2 linked regions of the Macaca mulatta genome follow. The protein of the gene in region 1 binds, or shares a complex with, the protein of each later gene. Links are inferred from orthologs where the notes say so. Each region holds a gene or a part of one and is shown on either strand. Other genes may lie near its edges.

What was found.
Region 2: the proteins of ORC2 (region 1) and LRWD1 are in contact, whole or in part, in a crystal structure (PDB 8SIU), measured with the Rattus norvegicus proteins. The link is inferred for Macaca mulatta from reciprocal best matches to the Homo sapiens genes ORC2 and LRWD1. Residues at the interface, in NP_001012003.1 of Rattus norvegicus: Val11, Pro12, Ser13, Val14, Gln15, Phe16, Val17, Gly18, Asp19, Val22, Leu23, Ser24, His25, Ile26, Leu27, Asp28; in XP_038945348.1 of Rattus norvegicus: Pro262, Leu263, His264, Phe265, Leu266, Gln267, Cys268, Ser270, Asn273, Ser274, Pro275, Leu320, Val321, Leu322, His323, Lys324, Tyr325, Lys326, Leu367, Val369, Gly372, Phe373, Cys374, Pro596, Pro598, Val599, Ala600, Val605, Ile630.

Annotation. Positions count from the first base shown.
Region 1 is NC_133417.1:106,027,102-106,030,907, reverse strand, and holds part of ORC2 (origin recognition complex subunit 2), read left to right. Parts: coding exon 1-21; intron 22-1,182; coding exon 1,183-1,279; intron 1,280-3,806. UniProt on the Homo sapiens protein: Component of the origin recognition complex (ORC) that binds origins of replication. DNA-binding is ATP-dependent. The specific DNA sequences that define origins of replication have not been identified yet.
Region 2 is NC_133408.1:49,716,527-49,721,035, forward strand, and holds the start of LRWD1 (leucine-rich repeat and WD repeat-containing protein 1), read left to right. Parts: upstream 1-1,631; 5' UTR 1,632-1,761; coding exon 1,762-1,841; exon of another isoform or gene 1,842-1,859; intron 1,860-2,195; exon of another isoform or gene 2,196-2,345; intron 2,346-2,481; coding exon 2,482-2,716; intron 2,717-2,818; coding exon 2,819-2,935; intron 2,936-3,847; coding exon 3,848-3,988; intron 3,989-4,224; coding exon 4,225-4,329; intron 4,330-4,509. Other genes in the region: ALKBH4 (alpha-ketoglutarate-dependent dioxygenase alkB homolog 4), read right to left, coding at 1,394-1,516. UniProt on the Homo sapiens protein: Required for G1/S transition. Recruits and stabilizes the origin recognition complex (ORC) onto chromatin during G1 to establish pre-replication complex (preRC) and to heterochromatic sites in post-replicated cells.

The sequences.
Region 1 (3,806 bases):
CCCGGAATCAGTGTGAAATCAGTAAGTTTCAAAATGTTAAAGGGAAAAACATTATATCCTCTGCCAATTCATGCCTCCACATAAATGAGGATGGAGTATTAAAGAATTTTTGTTTTAGTCTTCACGGTAGTAGGATTGTATAGTGCTTAATACCATGTGTTTGGACTCAGAAGAATCTAGCTTTGAAACCATCTTTGAATGTCCTACGTTGTAACTGACATGTATTAAAACTTAGGAAAATATGTTAGTTTTGTTTACTACACTGAGTATCAGTGGTACTTCTAAAGAAGGGAATTATGGGGTCTTCAGTTTTGTTATAAACTATGAAAATGCTTTATTAGGCAAAAACTCGGGGCCGGGCGCGGTGGCTCAAGCCTGTAATCCCAGCACTTTGGGAGGCCGAGACGGGTGGATCACGAGGTCAGGAGATCAAGACCATCCTGGCTAACACGGTGAAACCCCATCTCTACTAAAAAATACAAAAAAAAAAAACTAGCCGGGCGAGGTGGCGGGCGCCTGTAGTCCCAGCTACTCGGGAGGCTGAGGCAGGAGAATGGCGTAAACCCGGGAGGCGGAGCTTGCAGTGAGCTGAGATCCGGCCACTGCACTCCAGCCTGGGCGACAGAGCCAGACTCCCTCTCAAAAAAAAAAAAAAAAAAAAAAAAAACAAACTACATGCTGTGAAAATGCTTTAAAATGCAACAGGATGTGAAGACTATAGTTTTACAATACATTTATCATAGATCATTTTTATTTCAAATGCTTAATCTCTCTTCCTCATTTGAACATGAAATCTTTTGGGTGCTGGATATTGAGTCATGTAGTATTCCTTTTTAAAAGTGTCTATAGTGTTTGTGTCCTGTTTCCTTTGATAGAACTGTAGTTTTCTAATGTTTCTCATGTTCTTGGGAGCTTTTTCATTTGTTTTTGCTGCCCTCTTATATTACCTATTACGTTGATATCTTTGCTATTCTTTTCTATTTTCTTTTAGCCACAACTTAGGCAAAAAACAATGAATTAGATATAATTCATCGAGTACCAGTAGAATTTTTAAAAGTGATTTTTTAAAACTTTTGGGAAATCCAAATTCATTGTTAATTTATAAAAAAAGGTTTGATTTTCTAGTTGTATATGACAATAAATTGTAATTAATGTGGCACCTCTTGCACATTCATGATATAGGTCCTGAATTCTATAACAGAAGAAGTCCTCGATCATATGGGTACTTTCCGCAGTATACTGGATCAGCTAGACTGGATAGTAAAGAGATTTAAAGAAGGTAACATGAAGTAGATGCTCTGTAGTTTTAGGGTAAAGTTAAGCATATACTTCTACTTATTCATGTATTTATATACATACAGTACAGTTATACATACATATTATATGTATTATATACATACATATACATACAGTATTATTATTATTTTATATATATATATTTTTTGAGACAGTCTCTCTGTTGCCCAGGCTGGAGTGTAGTGGCACCATCATGGCCCACTGCAGCCTTGACCTTCTGGGCTCAAGCAGTTCTCCCACCTCAGCCTCCCAGGTAGCTGAGATCACAGGCGTGTGCCACTGTGCCCAGCTAATTTTGTATTATTTGTGGAGATGAGGTCTCGCTATGTTGCCCTGGATAGTCTGGAACTTCTGGGCTCAAGCAGTCCTCCTGCCTTGGCCTCCCAAAGGGCTGAGATTATAGGTGTGAGCCACCACACCTGGCCCAAAAAGATTATTTTAATAATGGCACTTATCTTGGTGCTCTAAAATAATTTGACCTTTTTCTATGAACCTTTTCTGTGAACTTAACAGGGAAGAAAAATGTTAGTCCCACTTTCTTAAGTTTGTATATCCAAAAGCCTTTTTCTGTTTATAAAACACTCCAGAAGTGCAGTGGCACAATTTTGGCTCACTGCAACCTCTGCCTCCCGGGTTTAAGCAATTCTCCTGCCTCAGCCTCCCAAGTAGCTGGGATTACAGGCATGCACCACCAAGCCCAGCTAATTTATTTCAGAATAATTTTCAGGTTTTGTTTTGCTTGTGTAAAGTGCCTCCACTTGAGCGTTACATCTTTGTCTGATATTTTTATATTGTTTAATGTTTTTATAAAACATTATTTCTTGGCTGGACACAGTGGCTGACGCCTGTAATCCCAGCACTTTGGGAGGCCAAGCTGGGTGGGTCACCTGAGGTCAGGAGTTCGAGACCAGCCTGGCCAATATGGTGAAACCCCGTCTCTACAAAAATACAAAAAAAATTAGCCAGGCATGGTAGCACGTGCCTGTAGTCCCAGCTACTTGGGAGGCTGAGGCAGGAGAAGTGCTTGAGCCTGGGAGGCAGAGGTTGCAGTGAGCCAAGATCATACCACTGCACTCCAGCCTGGGCAATAGAGTGAGACTCTATCTAAAAATAAATAAATAAATAAAACATTATTTCTTTATTCTGTGTATATATCATTACATTGGGATAATTTTATATACTAAGATCTCTGATTCTTTTGGTGTGAATGTTTTGGTTATGTGAGTATGTCAGAAAATTGGAAATAGCATTATATAGTCTCTGATAGTTAATTGCCATTTAATAATGACTAAATTAAGAGAAGTACATGAGAATGCCTAACTGCTTTGATGGATAATTTTATTGATAATGTCAATAATCCTAGCTCTGTTTCCATAGTACTTTTATCTTGTCAATATTCTGGCATGTTCTTTAGTTTTGTCTTCATTTTGTTTCCAACCTGAAAAGCTTTCTGTCCCAAATTTCCTTTCACACTTCTACACCCATTTTACCCACAGTTCTTTATAGAAATGGACAGTATACTTTTTTGTTTTTGGGTTTTTTTTAACACAGTCTTTCTCTCTCACCTAGGCTGGGATCCAGTGGCACAAACACATTTCACTACATCCTAAACCTCCTGGGCCCAAGTGATCCTCCCAACTCAGCCTCCCCATTAGCTGGGACTACAGGCACACACCATCTGCCTGGCTATTGTTAAAATTTTTTGTAGAGATGGGAGTCTCACTGTGTTGCCCAGGCTGGTCTCAAACTCCTAGGCCTCAAGGGATCCGCCTGTCTGGGCCTTCCAAAGTGCTGGGATTAACAGACATGAGCCCAGCCAGACAATATACATTTTTATACCAACTGTACACATTTGAAAACAGGTAGAGTTGATTCTCATTATTCACAAATTCTATAATAACAAATTTTCCTGCTTGCTAACATTTATTATAATCCCAAAATCAATACTCTTGGCACTTTTGCAAAGTGAAACATGCACAGAGTGGCAAAAAGTTTGCATTGCCCAATGTACACATTCTAAGCAGAGGTCAAACAATGCAATGCTTTGCCGTCTTGTTTCAACTCTCATACTATAAACAAGCATCCTTTTCGCAGTCCGTTCAGTGCTATGTTTTTCACATTTTTCTGCTTTTGTGTCGGTGATTTGGCTGTTTAAAATGGCCCCCAAGCATAGTGTTAGAATGCTATCTAGTGTTCCCAAGCACAAGAAGGCTGTGATGTGCCTTGGGGAAAAAATGCCTGTGTATGTAAACTTCCTTCAGTTATAAGTTATAGTGTTCTTGACTGTGGGTTCCGTGTTAATGGATCAACAGTGTACCTTAAAAATAAAGTTGCCCTTAAAAGCCAGGCGCGGTGGCTCACACCTGTAATCCCAGCACTTTGGGAGGCCGAGGCAGGTGGATCATTTGAGGTTAGGAGTTTGAGACCAGCCTGGGCAACATGGCGAAACCCTGTCTCGACAAAAAATACAAAAAATTAGTCAGTCCTGGTCGTGCGCATCTGTAATCCCA
Region 2 (4,509 bases), on another chromosome or scaffold:
TCTCTCTTTTTTTTTTTTTTTTTTAAGGAGTCTTGCCCTGTCACCCGAGCTGGAGTGCAGTGATGCGATCTCGGCTCACTGCAACCTCTGCCTCCTGGGTTCAAGTGATTCTCCTGCCTCAGCCTCCTGTGTAGCTGGGATTACAGATGTGCCTCACTAAGCCCGGCAAGTTTTTGTAATTTTAGTAGAGGCAGGGTTTCGCCATGTTAGCCAGGCAGGTCTTAAACTCCTGACCTCAGGTGATCTGCCCACCTCAGCCTCCCAAAGTGCTGGGAAAACAGGCAAGAGCCACGACACCCGGCCCAACTCATTTCTTGATAGATACTTGGTTTGCTTCCATCTTTGGGCTGTCGTGAATAATGCTGCTATGAACATTGGTATGCAAATATCTCTTCCAGACCCTGCTTTTAGTTCCTTTGGATATATACCCAGAAGCAGGACTGCGGATCATGGGTAATTCTATGTTTAATTCATGAGGCATGCCATACGGATTCCACAGGACCTTGGGCACTTCTACTATGGATGATGGGGCAGTTTCTTCACTGGCTTCCCAGCCTCCACAACTTCATATCTGCCCCTTCCCTTCCCAGGATCTTTCTAAAATGCACATTTGACTTCACTCCTTTAAAACCCTTCAAGAGCTTTCCATGGCCTTTGGGACAAGTCCAGCCTGCTCAGTTGATGCGCAGGGAACCATCTGTGGTCAGACACCACCCGCCCCCCGCTGCCCCCACCAACCTCTCCGGCCTCATCTCTCTCACCTGAGCCATCACCACTCCACCTTCCTACCCCACGCAGTTTTCTGGGCTGGAATGCCCTTGCAACCAACCACAATCCTTCCATGCCAGCCCAAAGGCTCTGAGTTCTTTTTCTTTTTTTATTTATTTTCTTTTCGTGAGGCAGGGTCTCGCTCTGTCGCCCAGGCTGAAGTGAGGTGGCTCAATCATAGCTCACTGCAGCCTCCAACTCCTGGGTTGCAGCGATCCTTGAGTTCCTCTTCATTAGTTAACTGGAATTCACTGTCTCCTTGTCCATTGCAGTCCACGGCCTTCAGGCACCGCTGGACTGGTATTCAGCACCCTCGATCGACCCTTTCCGTGTCATCTCCTCGCGGGCCTGTGAAGCTCCCAGCGCCAGACCCGAGAGGCTACGTCGAGGTTTGCAGGCAGATCCCCCCAGAGTTCCCGAGGTTACCTGTGATCGCACCCACCCACATTCCAGCCCCTTCCCCACTCCCAAGCCCGCTCCTTAAAGCCCTCATCTCCTCAGCCCGCATCGCTCCTACCGCAAGGGTCCCTCACAGGCTTTGATCCTGGCCCGTATCATGGCCAAGCTGGGCCTCAGTTTCCCCAGATGCAGAGCGACGTCTGTGGACGAGGCCCCTACCCCTTACCGCTGGGGGCAGTTCCCAGGGCGGGTCGCCGCCACGCTGCCGCTCGCAGATCAGACAGGTCCGGATGCCCTTACAACCACATTCCCGAAGGACCTCGGGGGTCTCGGCGGCGGCAGCCGCCATCGCGCCGTCCGGGTGGCCAGTGCGCAGGCGCGGCCGTGGGTGGCCGCTGGGAGTTGTAGTCCGCGCGAGGCGGGGGCACGAGGCCTAGGTTCCGCTTCCTTCCGGTCGTTAACGCCCACGGGCTCGCGCGGCGCCACCTCCTGGGCTCCGTTATCGCGGACGCCAGTACCGGGCTCCAGGAGACGCAGGGGGACGCCAGACGCCGGGGCCGCCGACTGGGTCGGCGCGGGCCGCGCCTCCTCGCCATGGGCCCCCTCTCGGCGCGGCTGCTGATGCAGCGCGGGCGCCCCAAGAGCGACCGGCTGGGGAAGATCCGGAGCCTGGAGTAAGAGCCGGGCAGGGGGCGAGGCTGTGTCCGCGGGGCCGGGGGTCGGAGGGAAGAGCGGGGACCCTCCCCAACGGCCTGCCTGTCCCCGTTATCGCCCTCTGGGTTCGGCAGAGTCGCTCCAAATGTCTTCTTGTTGGGAGATCGTGGCCCTACCCGTTCGCCGCGAGCCCCGAGGGGCCTCATCCCCTGAAGGGAGCCGGGAGAGTTAGGGGCACAGCCTGCAGCTACCATTAGAGGGCCTGGGAAGCACAGAGGAGCCCCCGAAGGATCAGGAAGAGCATCCTAGAGGGGGCTAGGATGCCCCTCAGTCCTAAAGTAGTTGCAGTTTTTTTTTGTTTTTTTTTTTTTAAGTGGTGGGGAGTCGGGAGTAGTGGCGCGCGCTTCTAGTCCCACCTACTCGAGAGGCTGAGGCGGGAGGATCCCTCAGCCCAGGAGATGGAGGCAGCAGTGAGCTGTGATCGCGCCTAGGCGACTGAGTGACGCCCCGTCTCTAAAAATAAAGTAACGAGGGGGTGGGGCGGGGCGGCTGCACTTGTGCGAGAAATGTCAGGTGAAAAAGCCTTCTGAGATAGCTGGGGCAGATTGGTGTGGGGTGCAAAGCCTGCCCTCCCCCTAAGCCTTCTGCCCCCAACTCCAGCCTGTCAGGGTTGGAGCTGCTCTCCGAGCACTTGGACCCCAAGCTCCTGTGCCGCCTGACGCAGCTGCAGGAGCTGGACCTATCTAACAACCAGCTGGAGACGCTGCCGGACAACCTGGGCCTGTCCCACCTGCGTGTCCTCCGCTGCGCCAACAACCAGCTGGGGGATGTCACTGCCTTGTGCCAGTTCCCCAAGCTCGAGGAACTCAGCCTGGAGGGGAACCCCTTCCTGACGGTAAGTGGGGGCCTCCCACCAGCCTCATACTGGGGGCCAGGACTCTGTTGGGCTCAGGCTCAGCATCTCCTGAGCCACTGCCGTTCACCCCCTCTTCCCCAGGTCAATGACAACCTGAAAGTCTCCTTTCTCCTGCCCACACTCCGAAAGGTCAATGGCAAGGATGCGTCCTCAACTTACTCTCAGGTGGAGAACCTGAATCGGGAGCTGACCAGCAGGGTAAGGGGATGAGAGGATTATTGTGTGCTTGGGAGCTATAGGCGGCATCAGGAAAGTGATGGAATTGGACATCAGGAGGATGCGAGGAGGGTGACTGATAGGGGCTCTTTGCCCTAACAGCCCCTAGCCTGATGTGCTTTTTTTTTTTGGAGATGGAGTCTCACTGCATCACCCAGACTGGAGTGCAGTGGTGCGATCTTGGTTCACTGCAACCTCTGCCTCCCAGGTTCAAGTGATTTTCCTGCCTCAGCCTCCCAAGTAACTAGGATTACAAACACCTGCCACCACGTCCAGCTAATTTTTTGTATTTTTAGTAGAGACAGGGTTTCACCATGTTGGCCAGGCTGGTCTCAAACTCCTGACCTTAGGTGATCTGCCCGCCTTGGCCTCCCAAAGTGCTGGGATTACCGGTGTGAGTCCCCGCACCCGGCCTGACTCTTATAAGTAGCGCTTTCTGGGTTTTTACTTTCCTTTTTTTTTTTTTTTTTTTTTTTTAGAGACAGGGTCTCACTCTGCTGCCCATGTTGAAGTGCAGTGGTGTGATCATAGCTCACTGCAGCATCCAACTCCTGGGCTCAAGCAATCTTCCTGCCTTAGCCTCCTCAATAGCTGGGGCTTTAGGCACATGTCTGGATCATTTTAAAATTTTTTGTAGAGATGGGATCTTGCTATATACCCCAGGCTCCAACTCCTGGCCTCAAGCGATGCTTCTTCCTCAGCCTCCCAGTGGCTGGGACTACAGGTCCCTGGGCTGTTTCGGGGTGGGGTGGGGGTGGGGTGTGTGTGTGTGTGTCTGTGTGTGTGGTTTATGAGGCTGTGATTCCAGGAGGCTTCCAGCAGGTGGCAGGATGGAGGGCTGGGTCCGGAGGAGCTGGGGTGGGCCGGGCCTGGATCTGCTCCCTCTTGCACCAGGTCACAGCTCACTGGGAGAAGTTCATGGCCACACTGGGCCCTGAAGAGGAGGCTGAGAAGGCCCAGGCAGACTTTGTGAAGTCAGCTGTCAGGGATGTCCGCTACGGGCCTGAGTCCCTCAGCGAGTTCACCCAGTGGCGGGTACGTCCCTGTCCCGATGTGCAGGGAGTCACTGGCTCTCGTATCCCTTGCCTGGAGGTCCCTGGGTGTGAAGGGCTAAGGGGCTGTGGGAGTGGGGTGAGTCAGGGTGGGCAGCCCTGTTGACTGGAGAGGCCCTTCCCCAACTCTGGAAGCACAGGCTCCCCCTGACTATGCATTGGCAGGGCTGGGGGCGCCTGGGACTGTGCCCAGCTTCCTGATGGCCTGGCCCCACCCAGGTGCGGATGATCTCTGAGGAGCTGGTGGCCTCCAGTAGGACCCAGGTGCACGAGGCTGACAGCCCAGAGAAGCCCCCAGAAGCTGGAGCTGCCCACAAGCCCAGGGTGAGTGCAGCTCCTAGGGCTCTGAGGCTGGCCCAGCCCCTCCTGCCTGGAGAAGCTGCAGGAGACCAAGGTGACCTGGGCATGGGCCCAGGAAGCACCCCAGGCCCTGACTCGCTCCCTAGACGACCCTGGGCCAGCCTGGGCCTCCTACACCCACAGTGAGGTGGGGTCCAGCCTGTG